3 linked regions of the Astyanax mexicanus genome follow. The protein of the gene in region 2 purifies or fractionates together with the protein of the main gene of each other region. This does not show direct contact. Links are inferred from orthologs where the notes say so. Each region holds a gene or a part of one and is shown on either strand. Other genes may lie near its edges.

Region 1 (7,981 bases), on a different chromosome or scaffold from region 2:
TTGGTATTTTTCTCTTAAAAAAAATCATTATCTTTGAATAGAAGACCTAATGAGGTTGTGTTTGTAACATGGAATGGCTTTACACTGTCTGTCTGAACTGAACTAGCCATGACATTTTTATTTACCCCTCACATAAACATCTATCTATCTATTTCTCCTGTACTTTGATGTTATCTCACCTTGTGGAACACATTCCAGGCCTGATGGAACCTCCTGAGCTGCCTGCTCCTCCTCCACAGATGAGTAAAACCCAGAGAATAAAGACATGGGGTCGTCAAACAACTCAAAGGCAACCTGCCTCTGTGAAAACAAAACAAATCACTTCATTAGCAGGGAATGCATTACAATTATTGCTTTATTACTTTTATTACACTAAAAGGCCATTATGTAATATCACTAATTGGGATATTGGGTATAATTATGTGTGAAGAACACACACACAGGTCATTAACAGATGATTGACAGGCACTCTCGTTCTGTTCATAAAACCTAGACAATGAATCATTAAAACTTCAGTCTGGAAGTTAAAAGGCACGTTGGTAATGTAGTACATAGATAACATGCAGCAGGAAAAACCCAGAAGGCACTCCCTCTTTCTCTCTCAACTGCCTTGATTGCTCAAACTCTAGCTGCCAGAGTGAACTGCCTTCAGCCAGCGCCAGCCAGCATACGACCATATTTGGCCTTCCTGTTCCGCAGCAGAGGGGCTGTGTGGGCGCTGGCAGCTCAGAGTCCAAACGATCTCTCTTCCAATAAGGCAGCAGCAACCCTACTCTCTTCAGATCAGATTAAAACAACCACTGTTCTCTTTAGATTAGATTAGTGCTGACACAGATTTTTTTCCCACACCGGCTGCGGTGAAGCTACCGCTGTACGTCTTTATTATCTCTGTGAAAAGGTGCACATCTACAGCAAAACAGCATCTCTGACAGGCTTGTTCTTCAACACAGCACTTTAACTAACTGATTAAAGCTGCTGTGAACAGTGACAGTATCATTTAGAATGTACAATTTGATAAGCTCCTTTTAAATGCATTGAAGTTAACAGACTAATACAAATAATAAAAACACTTTCCTGTCTCACAACAAAAACAAAAGTTTTCAGTTGACATAATAGACTTTCATTATTGATAGCTAATATAACAGTGCAGTTATTGTACAAGCTAAATAAGCAAATCTCTGACACCTAGCATGTTGTTTCGGCTGTTTAAATTTAAGGCAACACTTAAACGCACCTTTGTTTAGATCAGATACACATATATACATTTACAGAATTAATTTTACATAATGTTTCTATTAACACAGTTTACATCCGAACCATGTTGCACAGGTAATGTTATAAATCTTGCCCAAGGACTTTTATTGGTCTACTGTGGTGTGCTAAATGCACCCAGTGAATTGAACTCTTAATACTTTTCCTCAGGTAAAGCAGAGTTGTTGCCCACTAAGCAGCATCACAAATAACAGATATAATGAAGATATGTTCACAATAATCTTAAAAAATATGACCCATACACAGCACAGACATACTCCAGCCATACAAGCCTAAGTTTGGACTGTCCTTGAACACACTTAAACTGTCTGGGAAAAAAAGCACTAGCATAGTGCTGTTGCAGTAGGACAAGAGACTATAAGCATTCTACCATTCTGAAACAACATTTAACAATAGCTTTGACCTACTAAATCATGCTGCCACTTAATACAGATATATTCCACATGGGTACCAGATGAGGTAATGTTTTATTATACCATTATACACAATATGGTTTCATGAGAATATAACAGATTTTGTCCAAGCTTAAAGAACACTGACAGCAACTCATCTACTGAGAACATTTCATTACAGAGAGTGTTCTTAGTGCTTATCAAGTTATAACTTGATGATGAGCAGCACATCTTTGAATATAAAAATATTTAAGTATTTGAATAGATGTTTTAAGGAATCTGCTGTCATCACGCATGTCATGCATTTGTCTGTGTATTGTGAAAACATCCTTAAATATTGTGATATAATACTTTTTTTTATATAAAACATATCAGCCACCTCTAAGTAACAAGGCTTTCCAACACACTTACCTTCAAGCATCTGTAGCCTGAAGACAGGGGGGTCACCTGGTCCATGCTGAGGTCACACATTTAAAGGAACCTGAAGTTACATACACCAAGAAACAGCTGGTTACAATTTGAATTCAGTGACCCAGAGTTTTGTGAGTATTCTAATCTCTGTGGACAACAGTTTAACTTTTAAGTCCCAGGCTGAAAACTGTCTCACTGCTTCATCACTGGTTCATATCTTACTAATGAGTCTCTGAAATGACTCATGGTGGTCGTCACCAGGGGCGGGTGATCCCTCTCAAATTGGATTAAGGACCACCACAAAATGGGTTAGCCACATTAACGCCTCAATTAGCAAAGATGTTACACAAACAGAAGGAACAAACTGTGTCTAAGCTCATTAGCTAGCTATATCCTTTATAATCAGAGGTGCAGACTTATTTATTTTATATATTTTTTCAGTCCACCTTAAATGGCGCAGCAGCTCTATTCCCCCATGTAATTACAGACACCAGATTATAACCGCTAGCATCAGGATTTTTAAGGTGGAACGGCAAATTGAAGAGAACTTCAGAATAACAGTAACCTAGCTAATTGCTGAGCTGTAACTTGTTTTATGACTACGATTAAATAAAAATAAAACACATAACACGATGTTTAGTGATATTTACATCGCTTTATACACGCCTGCCTCAATAAAACAGAAGTAAACGCTATTTAATGTTAGTGTTTTTATCGTAACCCTTTCTGAGGCTGGTCGCTCATACTGACCTGTTGAATGTTTCCACGCAGCGGGCGGTGAAATATCCGAGAGCAGGCTTTAAAACTGGCGGACTGCAGCGTTAATGTATTCCTGTAGTTCCCTGTAGCCGGTGTAGTGTGTGTGCGTTCTCCAGCAGCGTGGGGGGAATCTCTGTGGGGTGTTTCCAGTGTAAACTCGCAGCTCCGCGGTTCTCTCTGTTTTCTCTACGCTTCTCTGGTTTTATGTAAAGTCGACCGCTGACTGAAGCTGCGCGAGGAGCCCTGCTCTTTTAGCGCGAGGCGAGTCTGAGGGGGAGGAGCTTAGCTCAGCACAGCACACTCAGCATGTAGCTCAGTTTATTAGAGAGAGAGAGAGAGAGAGAGAGAGAGAGAGAGAGAGAGTGAGAGAGAAGTTTATATTCATACATTTTTAAGAGTTCAGAAATCAATATTTGGTGAAATAACCCTGTTTTTTTAATCACAGTTTTCATTTATCTTGGCATGTTCTCCTCCACCAGTCTTACACACTACTTTTGGATAACTTTATGCTGCTTTACTCCTGGTGCAAAAATTCAAGCAGTTCAGTTTGGTTTGATGGTTTGTGATCATCCATCTTCCTCTTGATTATATTCCAGAGGTTTTCAATTTGGTAAAATCAAAGAAACTCATCATTTTTAAGTGGTCTCTTATTTTTATCCATAGCTGTATGTGTCACAGATGTATGGTTCGTTTTAGGTGATTTGGGATGTGCTGGAGCGAACTGTTTTTCAGCACCTCCAGGAACTCCTTCCTTTAAGATGCTGAGAAAACTATTCCAGGTGACTCTGCCTCATGAAGACACTGAGATTAAAATACCAAGAGTCTGCAAATCTGTCCTCAAAGATAAACGTGGCTACTAAGAAGAATATAAAGTATAAAACATATTCTGGTTTGTTTAACTTTATTTTTTTTTTTTACAAAAACATCCATGTATTCCTGTATAACTATAATGTCTTCAATATTAAATGTACAGTGTAAAAAAATATAAAAAGAAAGCAAAGCATGATGCTACCAACACCCTGCTTAACAGTTGGTGCTGTTTGTGATCAGTTATAAACTATAGTTGAGATTGAAGGTATAGTTTTTGGAGCAGAGGGATCAGTAACATTATTTTATGAAACCTTAGTCTTAGCCTTAGTCGTCCTTTTTATTGTTCCACTCAGCAACAGGGCATGATGCTGCCACCACCATGCTTAACAGCTAGCATATAATTCTTGTGGATAAATATCTCATTTTCATGCCTCCAAATCTTACCTCATCTGACCTAAAGTTTTACTTTTTTTAAATCAAATTGATGATTAACTGATAATTTAGCTCAGTATGCCCTGTAACCTTATTACAAGGATAACTAATCAGTAAATAAATGCAATGCATTCAGGAAACCACCAGTGCTTCTGAAGTGTTCAAGAGTTTAAAGCTCTGCATTCCTTACTTTTAGCGAGGATGGAACTTTTTAACCTAAACATTTTCACCTCTGCATGTGTGCGTGTGTGTGTGTGTATGTGTGTGTGTGAACAGCAGGATTTCCAGGCCTTTATGAGCAACAGCAGGGGCCCTCACACCTGCCCTCCCTAATGTTTATCACGTCTGAGTTGGTTCACACTCACATTTGTTTATTATGCAGCGTGAATGAGATCAGCCTCCCCTGCTTTTGTGCTGCTGCCTTGTCCTCACTGCTGGCCACCATCACTTGTTACCCTGCTCCCTGTCCCATGGAAGCACTCACACACACGCCCTGGTCACTAAACAGCAGGAGACCCTGCTCAGCCTGGTATTAGAGGTGCTCAGGAGGAAGCTGAACATTAGTGTACATTAGTGCTGAAGGTGGGTTTTTTCTCGTAAGTCGTGTGTTCTTGCTTTTCAAAAACAGAAATAGCAGTGACTCTTAAACAAGGTTTTCTTTTGTGCAGGCTAAATTTCCATGTCATTTACTGTAGTCATGCACTAGCTGGTTGTTGCAGTGTTTTTTTTTTTGTCCTGACATTCAAACTGGGACGAGTTTGGTCTGAGTCACAGGTAATCATACTGTAATAACTGCAGTTAGACTAATGTCTACTCTGCAGTTATCCAGCGGAAATAGAACATGCACATGTATCCTTCAAGGTTACTTGGTACACCACCAGATACCACAATACCACAAGAAAAAACATTGCATGATTCACAATATGGTGTGCTGTAAGACTGTGATATGAAAATAATTCAAGCGACATTTGCCCAGGTAACAGTTCAAGTACATTATTGGCCCAAAACAACATTAAATCAATGCCAAAGTTTAGAACAAAACACCCAAAGAAAGGTGAGCTACATTATAATTGTGAATTTATGAGAAGCATTGTACAAGAATATAGTAAAGCAAATGCATTCTTTTATATAATTAAATAGAAATTTCCTCAGACACAAACTTGACCTCATCTACACTTAATATGAGTATACATAAAGATCCCTTGCAGAATGTCACATTTTTTAAGACTTCAGTATATTCATGAGGCAAAACATGAACCTAAAACTCTATAGTATCTTCATTTAAAAGCAAATCTTCTAGTGTCTTACAGTCATATGAAAAAGTTTGGGCACCCCTATTAATCTTAATCATTTTTAGTTCTAAATGTTTGGGTGTTTGCAACAGCCATTTCAGTTTGATATATCTAATAACTGATGGACACAGTAATATTTCAGGATTGAAATGAGGTTTATTGTACTAACAGAAAATGTGCAATATGCATTAAACCAAAATTTGACCGGTGCAAAAGTATGGGCATCCTAATAATTTTATTGATTTGAATACTCTTAACTACTTTTTTACTGACTAACTGAAGCACAAGATTGGTTTGGTAACCTCACTGAGCTTTGAACGTCATAGCCAGGTGTATCCAATCATGAGAAAAGGTATTTAAGGTGGCCAATTGCAAGTTGTTCTCCTATTTGAATCTCCTCTGAAGAGTGGCATCATGGGCTCATCAAAACAACTCTCAAATGATCTAAAAACAAAGATTGTTCAACATAGTTGTTCAGGGGAAGGATACAAAAAGTTGTCTCAGAGATTTAACCTGTCAGTTTCCACTGTGAGGAACATAGTAAGGAAATGGAAGAGCACAGGGACAGTTCTTGTTAAGCCCAGAAGTGGCAGGCCAAGAAAAATATCAGAAAGGCAGAGAAGAAGAATGGTGAGAACAGTCAAGGACAATCCACAGACCAACTCCAAAGAGCTGCAGCATCATCTTGCTGCAGATGGTGTCACTGTGCATCGGTCAACAATACAGCGCACTTTGCACAAGGAGAAGCTGTATGAGAGAGTGATGCGAAAGAAGCCATTTCTGCAATTTCTCATGATTGGATACACCTGGCTATGAAGTTCCAAGCTCAATGAGGTAACCAAACCAATTTTGTGCTTCAGTAAGTCAGTAAAAAGTACTTAGGAGTATTCAAATCAATAAAATGATAAGGGTGCCCATACTTTTGCACCGGTCAAATTTTGGTTTAATGCATATTGCACATTTTCTGTTAGTCCAATAAACCTCATTTCAATCCTGAAATATTACTGTGTCCATCAGTTATTAGATATATCAAACTGAAATGGCTGTTGCAAACACCCAAATATGTACAAAAAATATGTACAACTCCTTTAAAAAAGTACAAAACACAAGCAAAGTTTTAAATGTGGTGAGACTCTCTGGTTTTCACACTAACCTGGACATTAAGAGCTGAGAGCATGCAGTTATAGAGATACTGGAGGTGATAAAACTCGCAGCAGAGGGAAAACCAGTGTTTGAAAAGAAAAAGTCCTTCAAAAATAAAAAAAATGGGGGGTGTAGCGGTTGTGAACTCTGTGGAATGAGGTGCTATTCTGTATTTGATCAATTTCATAAGAAGTAGAACCTTGAATTTTCATGGTACAAAGGCAGTGCTGTTATATAAAGTCAACATTTATATAACTCTTAAAGCTGAGTGACCTGGTTCTTTTGCATGAAAATACAGACACGAGGACATTAGTGGAGATCTGACAGGTAAAACACCCTTATAAAGCAGCTACATTTAAAGGAGATGCAAGAAGAAAGATGGAATCTGCCTGTAAAATATTCCCCTTCCAAACCTGCCCCCTTCCATTCCATATTTCCTCTATGATGAATGTTATGTTGCACCACTTAGCAACAACTGAGCAACAGCATTGCAACAACTTGGGATATTCTTGCAACCATTTAACAACATCCTAGCATTAGCAAAGACCTGGGATACCATAATAAATACTAGCAACACCATAATAATAACCACTTAGAAAACTGTAGGAACCACCTTGCAATATCCCAAGTACCACATGGAAAACCATAGCAACATTCGGGATACCTCAGAAAATATTAAGCAATTGCTTAGTTACACCATAGCAACCAGCTAGCAACAACCTGGAATATTTGTGTGTGTGTTTAAATACAAACAAAATGTACACGTGTAGAAATCATCTTACAAAGCACAAACAAAATGTTCTGTTTTATTAAGCTGGAAGTAAGCTTAGCAGATTCCACAGCACCATCTCCATAAAACACTTTAGCAGAACATGTTTTACTGATGAGCATAAAACAAACCATCATTAAGTTACACAAGTGTTTCCCAACCACTGTTCTCTTCCACCAGTCTTACACACTGCTTTTGGATAACTTTATGCCACTTCTGTTGCAAAAATTCAAACAGGTCAGCTTGGTTTGATGGTTTGTGATTATCCATCTTTCTTTTGATTATATTCTATAAAATCAAAGAAACTCATCATATTAAGTTATCTCTTATTTTTTTCCAGAGCTGTATATTAAATAAATAATATATCTTTGTTTTTATAATAAGCGGCATATGATTACAAAATAAAAGGCCTACATAGCAAATTAATAACATGATTTCAGTCAACTCTCATATTTTGGCGTAATATTACAAACTTTAGGAGTTTTCTGTTGTAAAATTTAGACCAAACATGTGTGGAAACACTGTAGTTCAGACTAAAGCGGTACAAACAAGGTACAACAGTTTTCTTGAGAGGTTAGGTAGTTTAATGATGCACTACACCATGTTAGGTTGTACAGGAAACACACCCTTGGTTAGCGCTAATGCAAATCAATAAAATAAAGGCTTTGTCCAGAACCGTTTTTGACAATATATAATCTGTG
Region 2 (7,469 bases):
TTTTATCCAATCAGAACAGTGGGATTTAACAGAAGACTGCAACACTGCTCTCTAGTGGTCAGAGTTTAAACAACAGCAAATGAACCCCTGTCAGACATCAGATGTCTTTTATTGTAAACTAATAGATAAAAGTCATTGAGGTATTGTAAAAGTAATTATCACAATAATCTAATATATCAAATTTCTTACACCCCTAGTAGAGACATTTTCCAGCTGAGAAATATGAAAGAATTTTTAAAGACAATACGTTTTTCTGAGCATGCTGTATACTTACAGGGTGGTCCCGTTTTAGCCGTTTCTCCTCACATCTCTGTTTCTGCTTGAGGATTAGCTCGTTCACTGCGACAAAGAAAATACAGTATAAAATATCTCTGACTCAGAGGTGCGGACCTTAACACTGTTTAATAATATAAAAAGAAAAAAAAAAGTGTGTACGCGCTTCAGAAAACCCTGCACAGATAAAGATAATCCGCATTTACTCTTTAAATCACTCACCTAAGAAGTTGGGGTAGAGTTGATCAACATTGTCTATAATGTAATTACATTTTGGGCACCTGTTGCTGTCCTCCAAACTCTGTCGTATACATTTATAACTAGAAAACAAAAATTAAAACAAGAATCAGCATCACAGGAAGCATTACGGCAGAAAAACGGATACACATGAGATAAAATTAAATGTTTTCTCACCAGAAACTGTGGCCACACTTAGTCATGTGAGCTTCCTCTATCATTTCGAAACATATGGGACTGAAAAACAAAAAATGAAAATCATTTTTAAAAAGGATTATTAAATACTCTGCATGTTTTTGTGCTTTTTAATTCACTTTTACTCCAATGTTCAATTCAATCCATCATACATTTTACTGTTTAGCTACTGGCATAATGTACATGATGTCCATTTCACAGACATGTGATTCGCTTTCTTGTAAGTCTGTTGCACAAACATATTTTTGACTTCTAATTTATCACAGTATTATTATTAATATAGTATTATTATTAAGTGTATTTGGACGTTGGAACTATAAGGTAGAAATATTAAAAATATCCTACATAATCAAAACAAATAAACCAAAACAACTGTTTTCGCTGTGGGAAATCGCAGAATCAGGACCTGAGGTTCTCTCTCTCTCTTTCCATTGGCAGTATATAGCCGCTGCTCCTGACTCCCAGTTGCTGACTGAGTCAGATATCTAGCATGCCAAACATTTGCCGGGTGAGATATAGTATGACTGACTTCTGAAGAAAGCTGGTAAAAGCCTTGTATTTTCTAATATCTCTAAATAAATGGCAGAAAACATAAAAATAACATATTTCAATGTAAGATTTTTCCACCAGTATTGTGCAGCTCCATGCTGTATGACCTAGTGAACTGATATCATTATTATTTTATTATATATTAGTCTAGCAACTAATAAGTTCAGTAATGACTGTCAGTCTGTGGCAGATGCTGTAAAATGTTGTAAAATACATATTTATATCAAAAATGATTTTGAAACCGTATCATCCTTACTGAAACATATTCATCACCACAATATATTAGGATATCGATTAATTACCCAGCTCTACCTGCTACTGTAAATAATGCAGCTGCAGGAACACCAATCTGGTAGCTTCGTTAGCTAAACTAACACATATAAACACATAAAACAACTTAAAACACCTACATGACAAACATACAAAACGACTGTAATTTGTTTTATCGACAAAAACCTTAGAAGAGTCGAGAAAACTCTTATTCTGAGAGCTAAAAGAGCTAACGAAGTAACTGTTAGCGTTTACTAGTTTTACAAGCTAACTAGCTAGCATTAACTTAGTTAGCTAGATTAGCTAACTATATTATTGCATGTTTTAGACAAACAGCAATAATTAACGTTATAAACACCGACACAAAACTAAACACAGCTACAAATAAAGATAAAGAAAGCATAGCGCAGAATTAGTTTAAGTTTGTTTTTGGAGAGAAAAGGGAACAGAGAAAAACGGTTACTAGCCTAACTTACGTTAGCGATAGCATTAGCTAGCTAATATCACAGGAACTGGCAATGCTAACCTAGCTAATCTAGCTAGCGTCAACTTAGTTAGCTAGGTTAGCTAACTTTAGTAATGCGTGTTTTAGACGTTATTAAAAATATATAAATGTAAATAAATGAGTTTAATAAATGCAGATAAATGTTAACGCAGAATTAGGTTAGCTAACTATTTTTGTGTCAAAGAAAGAAAAAAGGGAACAGAGAAAAGCGGTTAACGTTACTGGCATAACGTTAGCAATAGCATTAGCTAAACTAATATAGCTATGATATGCTACGATATTCTATGCTAAGCTAAGCTAACTGTAGGTAGTGGAGCGCTAATAGCGGCCCTTCAGCTTGGTTCTCCCCGTCGGTAAGCTGCAGTTTGTCGGCTCTACTCACCAAACGAAGTCGTTGCTCTTATCCTCATACGGATTAATAAGGCCGTTATACAGCGGCCGCTTCCTGCTGTAGCTCCCGCCGGAGGAGCCAGCTCTGCCGCTCTGGGTCCCCGTAAGCTGCTGCTCAGCTCCGGAGCCCAGTGTCCTGGAGGATCCTCCTCCGCCGCCGCTGCCGCCTCCCGTGTTGCTCCCGTTGGCCGTAACGCTGCTGCTGCTCCCGCTATTTGCGGTGTTCCCGCTCCCGGAGCTCGTACCGGGCACAGAGCCCACGCCGCCGCCCTGGTGCTGCTGCCGTCCGCTCGACATGGTTCCCTGGTGCCGCCTGTATGAACTCCCTCCCCGCAGGCCCGAAGCTTCACTGCATGCTAACCGGCCCAGCAAGCCCGGCGCTGCCGCCGCCGTTACCCCGCACACAGAGCCGCAGCAGCGGGGAAACAGTCGCGCTGTACCCCGCAGACACTCTCTCCGCTCACCGCTCTGCCTGGAGCAGCGCTGGGTTTAATATCAGCCACCAAAACACAGAATATCCTCACCGCGGAGCCTCCTGTTGACAATTCTCAAACGGGGGTTTGAACAGATTTCAGCCCGCTGCAGAAGAACAGCCGCCGCCAGGCAACACTCACACCGCGGCGGGCAGGAGAGCTCCACCGCCACCCTCTGTACCGGAGCGGGCCTGAGTCTGGGGTATTAATTATAGTTCATTATAGCAGGTCTGAGCTTTTTAACACCTCAAAACATGATTTCAGAATTATTTTGACTATTTTATGTATTTATATTGAAATATAACATTGAGATTGTCATATTAAAATAGTTTTAAAAAGACACAAAAGTAAAAAAAAAAAATCAAATATATATTTTTAATTATATACTCATAGCTCTGGAAAAAATACTCACTCACTTGTCACAAAATGAGGAGTTTCTTTGATTTTACCAAATTGAAAACCTCTATAATATAATCAAGAGGAAGATGGATGATCACAAACCATTAAACCAAGCTGAGCGGATTAAATTCTTAAACCACGAGTAAAGCAGCATACAGTTATCCAAAAGCAGTGTGTAAGACTGGTGGAGGAGAACATGATGCCAAGATGCATGAAATTAAACTGTGATTAAAAACTAGGGTTATTTCCCATTTTCTGCAAATAAATGCTCTAAATGAGAATATTTTTATTTGGAATTTGGGAGAAATGTTGTCTGTAGTTTATAGAATAAAACAAAAATGTACATTACTCAAATATAAACCTATAAATAGCAAAATCAGAGAAACGGATTTTGAAACTTAAGTGGTCTCTTATTTATTTTCCAGAGCTGTATATATACATACGTATATAAGCAAATCAGAACAAAAAGTAAAAATATATATATATTTATATTATATATTTATATGCTGTCCTGTATTGTAACAGCAGAGGGCAGAGTGACCTACGGAAAAGCTGAACTTGTTGCTGGTTTACTGCAGTGCGCGCTGGTGGCCAGCAGAGGGGGGTAAAACTGCTTTAATAAAATACTAAAAGTCTACAAATTAAAAGTAAAAGTACTTAATTAATTAAATGAATTAATTGAATAAAGTACTTACAGATATGCAATGCACGTTTTAATGCATCTCGTATCCATAAGAACAGAAGCCGAAGTTTGTTAGGACATATTATTGGCTGTTTTGGTGTGTTTTTGGTTTTAATGTCAAATATTAAAAAAAAAAAATAAACAGAAACTAATTTAAATAATGTGATAGGAAGTCTCTACTAATCTCTACTCCTCAATATCAATAACTATTTAGGTCTAATTAACCCTTAAAGGCACAGTGGTCACAAATGTATTCCTAAAATGTATTTTTTTTTTACCTTTTGTACCTTTTGGGTTGTTAAATGGTACAAATCTGTACTTCCTGCTGTAAGGAATGAAGTACTTATATTGTACCTTTGTGTTTTTTTTAGTGTGCAATTTGTCCAGATCAGCAAATCTGACAGTGTGAAATAAATAAATCCTCTAAAAGGGTTTATTTTAAATTGTATTAATTATTAATTAAAATGTATTAATATTTTTGGTCACTTTTTAAAGGAATCCACCCCTGTTTGTGTATATTGTGTAAAATATTGTGTATTTTCAGCTCGCTTGCTGCAGAATGAGGCGTTTATACCGTAGTTCAGCCCAGTGAAGCTGGAAAAAGTGTTCGTCCCCTTTGGGGAAAATTACTGAGCATCTTACAGAATACATTAGCCTGTCAGGAGACCACCACGGGAGAAGTCCTGGCCCGTATTTTACCCTGCAGCTGTCCTGTCTGCTTCTGAAGAGCCGTTCCTTCCCCTCACGCCCTCCGTCCGTAAACACTCCGGCGTGTGAACAAGTTCATCACCAGTCCAACTCCAACCAACTCCAACCATCACAGAGAGGATCCAGTCATTACTGAACAGAGATGAGTCAAAATAAACAGAAAAAACAAGAAAAAACTAGAGAAGAAGTGATGGAACTATTGTATATCAGCTTCTCTGCAAAAAAACTGATTAATATAGTACTTTAAAATAGCCTTTTTTACTAGATAGTGATGGTATGAATCACAGTGGAACCCTTTTTTGAGTTACAAATCAATCAATCAATCAATTATCCAATCAACCAACTAATTAATCAATCAATTAACCTTTATTGTCACTCGGTAATACATTGAGGGAATAATTTTCGATGCAGCCAAGCATTTACCTTCTAAAGAGACTGGGAAAAAAAATCAATTCAAATTAAAGTCAAGTATTTAATATATAATTATCAGGTTACGCTAAAATAAGGAACAAATAAACAATAAAAAAAACAACAAAAATTAAATGGCAAAAGCATTTAGCTGTGTTTTTGTTTGTCATTTATTTTATCATCATTTATGCTTTATATATTTAAATTATTTTATTGTAAAGCATTTTGTGGCTCTGTTATATAGTTCTGAAAAGTGCTGTATAAATAATTATTATACCACAGTTAGTAGTTCCGACCCTGCAATGTGATTGGCTGAGAGGCGTTCTATGAGTGCCGTTATCAGCCAGTAATGCACTGCTGTAACCGAAGCTCTCCATGTACGTATTACTCCGCCACATACAGGTAACCTACGATGCAACGATGCAGCGCTTACAAACCAAACAGCTCAGCTACAAACAAACAGAGCAGCAATGGAGCTATTTTAACTGGCAGAGTTTTTATTTTATAGCCAAACAGATCGTGCAGATTTTCTCCTCCTCTTTAACTCTTTAAAATATTTAAATAAACAGAGATAATAATGGAACTGTGTTATATTGCTGATCTACGATCGCACCAAAACAGTGCCAATATTACACGTTATAGCACGAACCTTGAGAGTATTTTTGCTTAAATATGACTTGCTTAATTTGCAAAATCTTAGTCTGTGAGTAAAAACTCTGTGTCTAGTATTTAGATGTGAGAGGTTGTCAGACTTTTAATCTGTTTAAAGTCCTTTTAAAGTCTTTTTCAGAGTCTTTTTAAAGTGGTGTAGAGTACGGACAGCGTAAGGCAGGTCTTTAGGGCTGGCGCACTTTCCGAAAAGATCAGCCCTCTCGGGAGGAACTGGAGTAGAGAGCCGTGGATGAGTTGTGTGGAGCAGAAGCCAGCCAGTTCAGTGTCTCAATTATAGATGAGAGCTGCACGTTTTGCCATTTCAAACATTTATATATCTTGTAGGGCTTCTGTTAGGACTCTGCTCAGAGATATAGACCTCTTTTAAAACGGAGCCAAGGTACTCAAAGAGCCTGATGGGTAAAGACAGCGAGAGGTGAGAGAGTGATGAATGGGGGTTTCCAGCTCCAGTAATAATATCAGTGATTCAGTAGCAAACAGGAGAGTTTAAGTGTAAGAAAAGCAGATTAAATCATGTTATTCAGTTCGATCTGAAACATTAAATTACATCATAAAGCTCAGCTCTGTGTGTTTCTATCTATCTGTCTGTTTTCTGCTCTGGATTGAGAGATTGAGTTTTGTATTGGTTTTATAATAAAGCTGCATGTACCAACAACCACCAGTAGAGGGCCTGGAGTCTGCAGTGGAAGAGCTGGTGGATCTGGGCCAAAATAACAAAAACAAAAAAACTACAAGTCCCAGAATCCCCAGCGATATTCAGCGCAAACTAGGATCAGCTGTGAAACACAGTATAAAAAACCCAGTCATAGCTCAGTTCTCTGTCGCACCTTTGTAGAGGGGTGATCAATAACAGTGGGTAACAGAGAAAAAAGAGAAAAGATAAAAAAAAGGATCTCGAAAGAAAGACAAAAACAAGAAAAAAGAAAGAAGCGAGATCTTAAAAGAAAGCAAACGAAAAAAATAGTCAGTAGAACATTTTCTAAATGTTACTATTAATGTTCTTAGTAAGTTCAAGTTCATCTGTTAAGTTTTCTTGATATCCTTATAATGTTATGCAACATTTCTTTTAACATTTTCCCAACGTCGCTACAATATCACTTTTCAATTTATACTGTATAGTGTATGTTTTAAAAATGTTAACTTTAACAACACAAATGACGTTGCAGCAATGCTACCAGAATGTTTAAGAATGGTACATAAAACATTCTAAGAACGTCCAGAAATGTTCTAAGACTGTTACTCTATGAACTGTAACTTTGTGTAAAAGTTGAACATTCTAGGAATGTTAATTTGTAACATTTAGAAAATGTTCAATAAAACATTCTAAGAACATCGAGTAAAATTAAAAGATTGAATGTTCTAAGTCTCTGTTAACGTTGAATGTAACGTTTTGAAAACGTTTGACATAAAGATGGTTTGCACAATGTTATTAGAACGTCTCTCACATAGACGAATACAACCAAACTAAAAATGTAAACATTTATTAAGAATGTTTAAAAACATTGAATAAAATGTTCTGAGAACATTCAGAAAACACATTGACAGATTATTCTAAGAATGTTAATTGTAATGTTTCTACTAAAACCTTCTACTAACAAAACTACTAACTTTTTGAGGAAGCTGGGATTCAGCTTTGAGTTCTGTACGGATGGATGCTTTGATTTCTAAGTAGAGATGATTAGAGATGTATAAAAATGAACAGATTTAT
Region 3 (7,138 bases), on a different chromosome or scaffold from region 2:
TTGAACCAGGAGTGGCATAAAGTTATCTAAAAGCAGTGTGTAAGACTGGTGGAGGAGAACATGCCAAGATGCATGAAAACTGTGATTAAAAACCAGGGTTATTCTACCAAATATTGATTTCTGAATTCTTAAAACTTTATTAATATAAACTTATTCTCTTTGCATTATTTGAGGTTGGAAAGCTCTGCATCTTTCTTTTTTTCAGCCAGTTCTTATTTTCTGCAAATAAACGCTCTGAATGACAATATTTTCATTTGAAATTTCTGAGAAATGTTGTCTGTATTTTATAGAATAAAACAACAATGTTAATTTTACTCAAAAATACCTGTAAATAGCAAAATCAGATAAACTGATTCAGAAAATGAACTGTATATAGTAAAAAGGTAAATTGTCTGAGAGCCATTACTATAAACCGCAATCAATAAGTATTTGTGTTTAAATTAGAGCCTGGTATGTGTTGATGTAAGTTCATAATAAAAAAATAATTTTATACTAAAACTACTACAGGTGAATTAATTCTCACGGTTTGCTGAGGTGTTAAATGCCGTGGAAACTACATTTCTAAAGCTGGGACTCCATCTACAGGCCACAGAGCGTACACTGATTGAAAAATTTAGAAGATCACTACTGCCCCAGTGTGGTGAGATGAGTCATGGATGTACACTTTACAGTACATCCTGTACATTCACACTCCTGCACACTATTTACTAAATACAATACTTGCACAAGTTATTCAGTATTGTTGTATCTGCTGATACCTGCTCTCCCTTTTACCTTATTTATTCTGTATTACTGCACTTCTTCCTATTCTCAGTTAGGTTACTATCATACTTTGTATAGTTATTTATAGTATAGTTGTATAGTTAATTTTTTAAGGCTCAGTTAGCATCTATATATTTTTTAGACCACCCCAGGAAAAGAAGAGCAAGAATTATCTCTGTTACAAACCTCAGAAACCGCAAGATAACCGCAAAGATAAGACACCACCTAAATATATTTTGGTTTGACTATATAAATTATTATGTGTTCCTTCAAAGTCTGGATGAGTTTAATATTCATTAAAGAAATGTCATTATTTAAAAATAAAACTTGAATGCGAAGATGCATCAAAACGTTCAACAGGTACTGTCATAAGCCCTATCTATACAGGATTAGTTTCTCAGGATTAGATAATCCCTGTATCTATACAGGATTAGTTTTCTAATATTTTACACTTCTAAGTGTGATAAAACTCTTGCATCCGGACTGCAATTGAAAAAAAAAAGGAGGACCAGTGAGTTTTTTGGCTTTCTCAGTCACATGACATCACGTTCAATAGCTCCTCCATTTTTAGTCACTGCTGTGTTTATGTGGATCTCTGTGGAAACGCGCGCCCAAAGAGGACATCTGATTAAAAAAAACATACATGGTTGTTCTGGACAGGAATAAAATCACAGAGTACCCCTACCCCCCCCCCCCCCCCCCCCCCATAAAAGAGAAAAATACCCCAGGAACCCCTGAGAACCCTGAGCACTGCAAAAGCCATTTTTTAAGATACTGACACTACAGACTGTTGGGTCTGACTGTGTGACTTGGATTTAAATACAGCTTTTTGATTGGACATGCAGTTTCCATGTTGCACTGGATTTGTGTGCATTTTTTCCCATAGGAATGAAAAGGGTGCAAACTTTGGTGCCTTTTTGGCATCCTTATGGTAAAACGATAATACAAATACACTTGTAACAACCAAACATTCACATGGGGTACCACAGCAACCACTTGACAGCCAGAAACCATGTCAACTATTAAGCATCCACTCATTAACACCCTAGCAACCACTAGGCGACACCATAATCAACCACCTGAAAAACCATTGCAATCCACTTGCGATAGTACAGCACCCATCTTAAAAGCCTCCAACTCCCAGCAACTTCTATGATACATATATTTTTTAATATTAATGACATAAATTCACTCATGTTGTACACCAGCTTAAAGTGGACATGAAACACAAGTATTCAGTATAATTTACAAGATGTATTTTAACTTTAACAAATCGTATAAGTTTAACAGTTGTCAGTGAAACTGATTTAAAATAATAAGCAATCTAAATGTAATTTTTTTAAGTAACGTTAAGTGTAGCGCCATCTTGTCCCAGCGCTGAAAGTGACGTCACGAGGTTGATTCTCAGACGCCTACAAACTATTAGCCTACAGTAACTTAATTCCTCAATGAATAATAAAAGCCAGACCAAACAAAAATCGATGCAATTGGGCAACTTTTGTATTGCCCCTGGGTGTAGTAAAATTGTATAGGGTGAAGAATGGGAAAAAGATTCACTTTCATATCTCGCCTCTTAAGCGGATAGCTGTTCTTCGGCTGTGGCTAGCGGCGCTGAAGCGTGAGTTAGTAGCGAGCACTTTCGAGACGAGGACTATGTGGAGAAGAGGGTTTTTAAGTCAGGGTCATTAGTCGTTGGCCGGACAAATAAGCTGAAGTCCAAGACTTTTTTCTTCCTTTTTTAATTTTTCCTCTTACCAGCTGGGATGTACAGACCGTCCGACTGTGGGGGTAAGTTACTATGAAAGCAGCAGCTGTGAGCCTCAAGAAAGGAGCCAAACGACGCGCCCACCCAGCAGAGCAGCGAGAGGTACCGAACGTCTAGATAAGCTGACAGTTAAAAGATAACATAGCTAGCGTTAGCTATGTATCTAGCTATCTTACCACAGCTGGCATTAGCTATTTAGCTAGCTATCTTACTAAAGCTAGCGTTAGCTACTTAGCTAGCCATGTTAAGGTTGCTTGCCAACGCTAGCTAACTAGCTAACGCTAACTAGATAAAGCTAGCTACCCAGCAACTTCCAAACTGAACGGTTTATCAACTTAATATCCACTTAAATCATGTACGTTTTATTCAGTCTTAATGAACTCTGGTCTTTGCATGCTAAATAGCTAAATGTATATAAACACGCTAGTTAACGGTATGGCAGTACCTGCTGTTGACGGGCTCCAGGGTTTCTGCACGGAACTCACGTAGAGAGAGTATAGACACCTCCAAAACTTCTCGCTCTTAGAAAAGCATCTGAAAAGTTCTGCTCAGGGTTCTGCAGGGACGATATCAGAGCAAATGGTTCACGTTAGCCTCCTGACAGCAAATCCACTCGGTTGCAATCGGCACGGCAGTGCAGTGAGCGCATCTGCACCAGGTAAAGTTAGTGTTATGCCAAGCTCAGACTACACAACATTTTTGTCCCTCACAATGTTCACTATGTCAGATTAAGCAGTTATTTTCGTTTTGCGTCGTTCTCGGGGGACTGGCAACACTACAGGTTAGTCACCGACCAATCATCGTCCGCGTCCTCGCGTGAGTTCGTAGGTCATCGCGGGGGAAGAGGATAGAATCTGAGAATCACGGCTACAGAAGCGCTTTGCATGATGAAAGCGCTTTTGTGCTGAAGAAACTTAAAACAGGGGGAAAAGCGACTGTGGGCTCATTCCTGGGTGACCCAAATGGACATTATATGCTTTTTGTACTCCAGAGAGAAGTTAAGGTATGGTAAAGATGTAGCTACTTAGGTTTCAGTGAATGTAAACAGAATATTTCATGAATGAAGTAGATTATTAGATGATTATTATTAGATTATTCTTCTGTTTCTTTGGTCCAGAGAACCGCAGGAGCACCGTCCTGCTTTCTTTTCCTGTGTTTACATCCGTGCGCCACAGAGCGCTCCGTCTTCCTATTGGTCATAGTCAGGGAGCACGTCGCTGAGCATGTCAAACTAGGCCATAAAATACAACGAATTCTAACATGCTAGTCTTTCCGTCGGACGCTCCGACGGCGTCGCTCACGTCACATTACTGATCTTTAACTGTGTCACACTACACGGACCTTTGTCGCTCGCGACAATAAAATTCGGTTCCGACGCACGCAATGTGTCGGCGCCGACAAAATCGGGTCAAATCGGGCTAAAATCGTGTAGTCTGATCCGGGCATTCACGACCCTCTCCACCTGCACGGGAACCGCTGGCTGTCTCCTCTGTATAAATCGTTTGTACCGTAATCTGTCTCGTCTCCTCGCCGACTCAAACGCATGAGCCATTGGGTTTCTGGGAACCTGATTAAAACCCCGTTCAGCTTCGACTTCATCCACAATCTCGACAAACAGCAAGCTTATTTCCTTAACCGTGACCGCTAGCTACCTGGGCTCTTCAACCAACCAACATCGTGACGTCACTGCACTGGCAAAACGTTTAGGGTAGTAACAAACATAAATATATTATAATTTAGTGTGTAAACATTTTATATAAATGGATTTAAAATTAAACAAAGGGTGCACAAATTCTGCAAAATTAGCTTTTACTAAAGGACATGGACCAGATATATTCCATGAGTGAATCCATTCCTCAATACAGTATGCAAATGTAAACAATTCACTTGTTTCTGATTTGTTCTTTTCCTTCATAATACAAAGGAACAAATTATAAAAAAAGAAATCTGTCTGTTTTGATTGGGAGACGAGTCTTTTTAACCTGCAGAAACAGCTCCAGAAAGAGTGTAATCACAGTTTACTTGATTAGCTCCGTTACCTTTCTTTTAGATAAATCGCTGTATATCGAGATCTGTTTTAACGTCAGCTGCTCCGACTAGCTGCCTGAACTCACAGCGAGGGGGCGGGGCTTCCCCACACTGACCCTCCTCTGCACTGCGCAAAACTAGCAAGCTAATTGGCTGTTTCTCCTGAAAGGCGGGACTTTCTCCTTGAACTGGCACCATGATTGGCGTCAAGAGATTGAATAATCTCTCATTCATACGTTTTTTTGTGTTTTTTTTTATAATAAGGAAAATTTACGGGAAAATACTAATACGGGAGGACAGCGGGAAAAAGGGGTAAAATACGGTAGTTTCCCGGCCAAAACGGGAGACTTGACAGGTATGATCATATTTAATCCCTTAGAAAACTTCTACAAACTGAAATGTTTCATGTCCACTTTAAAATCACGCAACCTGAACTACACCGGTTAGATGATTATTTTATGCCAGACAGGATGGCAGAAATCAGAATAAACACATACACACTGCACCACCAGGGACCCAGCAGAGGGCAGCACAGGCCCAGGAGCCTACAGCTGGTCAAGCTTTAGACCCGGACATTTTTAGGGAAAATCGTATTCAAAACACAGCATCTCTCCTTCTAACAGAGATAAAAGAGAGCAGCATCATTCACCCCAACTGCTTCTAATGATGAGGCCATATAAAACAGCCTGTAGCATCAGGACTGATCTCGCTCGTCCCTGATAAAGACTGTTTACCCCCTATCTTCTGAGAAAATGCTACATAAAAGTCCTCCAAACCTGTAAATAAAAGTGTATTTATGCAGGCAGTGAGTCTGCTAAACCAAACGAACGAGTCACACTTTTAATGCACCCAGCTGATCTTAATTTCACTGATTATGAGACTACTCATACAAAATGTCTGGACTTTATTTTTTAGGCAGTGAATATTTATGTTATTACTTAATTACTTATTACCTGACATTAATTTGTTGAAGTCTGTTTTCACTTTTATATTCTTGGCAAAAATGCAAATAATATAGACTATGACTCCATTTATAAAAGCATTAAAAAATGGGGTGAATACTTTTTATAGGCACTGTACAGGATTGTATAAGGCTTTCCTGATTGAGGTTGTCCTTCTTCAGCATAGGAAAAACATCTATCAATGGGGTAAGCAAAAATAAAAAAACGATTATTTTGAGTTCAAATGTAAAAAAAATCTACATAAAACTAATTAAAATAAATTCATTATAAAATAAGAAAAATAATCTTATATTTACAATGCTTAGTAAGACAAAAAATAAGAAAAATAAGATTTATTGCAGTGTGAGGGAGAAAAGCAATGGTGAAATAATATAGAAACTGTACCTTTCCTAGAGTGTGTTTGACTGACACGTGTCCATTAAAAAACACTTTCTCATTGAAACACTTTCATTCCAGGTTTTTGATTGTATCTGCAACCAAAAGGAAAATCCCAATTTAAAGCTGATGTCTAAATTTTGTAATTTGGGGGATTTAGGGCCCTCTCTGGTGAGAATGGGTAATTGCACCGAACATGCGGAAGAATCATTTTAAACTGGGAGGATGTGAGGCGGTCTACTTTCAGAGCGGATGAATCCGATTCCAGGTTATGTTCAGTCAGAGAGAGAGAGAGAGCACGCAGGAAAATGTCTTTCTGCGAAAAGCGACCGACCGACACCCCAATTTTTAGAATAAATATATTAGGCTTAGCAGGGATGGTTGTTCCAGCACACTGCTACCAATTAACACAATATTTTATCCCTTCTCCACTCAGAAATGCTTTTGCTTTCAGTTTAGAAAACTGACTGCCACTTTAAGATATTACAGATCAACAGCTATTTGTTATGCAAATATATTAAAACAAAATAGTCTGACCAAAATAAAAAATAATAAAAAGCATAAGAAGAGGAACTACATAACTTGTATAAGGCTTTGTTGGAGTACCATGCAGGTTGGTTTATATGTTCAAAAATATCATCAAATAATCAGATAACATGTCCACTGGTCTACTCAAAAGTGTTAGCTAAGACAGATCCAGCTGTGCAGAAAAATCTCCAGGAAACATTGAGATTTGGTGTCTAAGAATGGTGTCTCAAAGGGTTCATATACTTGAAATTAGAGACCTGAGAAATGTATGTCAGGTCTAGATTAATACAGCAGTAAAACCACTTCAAATATCTCCAATTGGAGCTGTAGAGTAAGACGCAGCAGTGACTCGCTACTGTCACACTGTGCTAGCCAGCTAACATGATAAGTGTCATGGACACAGCAGGCTCAAGCTGATCAATTATTCACATTATCTCTGCTCCTGCATATGTAATGAGAGGTTCTCTAATTATTTATGACCCGTGCAGACTAGTTAAAGGAGAAGAGTAACAGATTCTCACTGATTTTCTACTTTTGTGTACCACAGAACAAGATATAATGAGAGGAGCTACAGTAGGCTATAGTGTATTATACAGCAAAATGTATATTCCACAAACAGTCGCTCTCTCAGAAGTCCTCTCTTTATACTTCCACTTTAGTAAAAGCAAAAAAAGGTATTTACCCTTAAAGTTACTTAAGTATTGAAAGTATAAGTACA

Evidence for each region. Proteins that work in one complex are often made in the same cells at the same time.
Region 1: the proteins of cop1 (region 2) and ets2 purify together in Homo sapiens (affinity purification with western blotting; 3 studies listed by BioGRID and IntAct, with this or other methods). This does not show direct contact. The link is inferred for Astyanax mexicanus from reciprocal best matches to the Homo sapiens genes COP1 and ETS2.
Region 3: the proteins of cop1 (region 2) and etv1 purify together in Homo sapiens (affinity purification with mass spectrometry; 4 studies listed by BioGRID and IntAct, counting the BioPlex papers as one, with this or other methods). This does not show direct contact. The link is inferred for Astyanax mexicanus from reciprocal best matches to the Homo sapiens genes COP1 and ETV1.

The regions. Positions count from the first base shown.
Region 1 is NC_064427.1:35,514,671-35,522,651, reverse strand, and holds the start of ets2 (protein C-ets-2), read right to left. Parts: upstream 3,078-7,981; 5' UTR 2,826-3,077; intron 2,146-2,825; 5' UTR 2,136-2,145; coding exon 2,076-2,135; intron 301-2,075; coding exon 180-300; intron 1-179. UniProt on the Homo sapiens protein: Transcription factor activating transcription. Binds specifically the DNA GGAA/T core motif (Ets-binding site or EBS) in gene promoters and stimulates transcription.
Region 2 is NC_064415.1:58,593,170-58,600,638, forward strand, and holds the start of cop1 (E3 ubiquitin-protein ligase COP1), read right to left. Parts: upstream 3,058-7,469; 5' UTR 2,717-3,057; coding exon 2,412-2,716; intron 748-2,411; coding exon 688-747; intron 594-687; coding exon 496-593; intron 340-495; coding exon 275-339; intron 1-274. UniProt on the Homo sapiens protein: E3 ubiquitin-protein ligase that mediates ubiquitination and subsequent proteasomal degradation of target proteins.
Region 3 is NC_064425.1:25,611,818-25,618,955, reverse strand, and holds the start of etv1 (ETS translocation variant 1), read right to left. Parts: upstream 3,078-7,138; 5' UTR 2,973-3,077; intron 1-2,972. UniProt on the Homo sapiens protein: Transcriptional activator that binds to DNA sequences containing the consensus pentanucleotide 5'-CGGA[AT]-3'. Required for olfactory dopaminergic neuron differentiation; may directly activate expression of tyrosine hydroxylase (TH).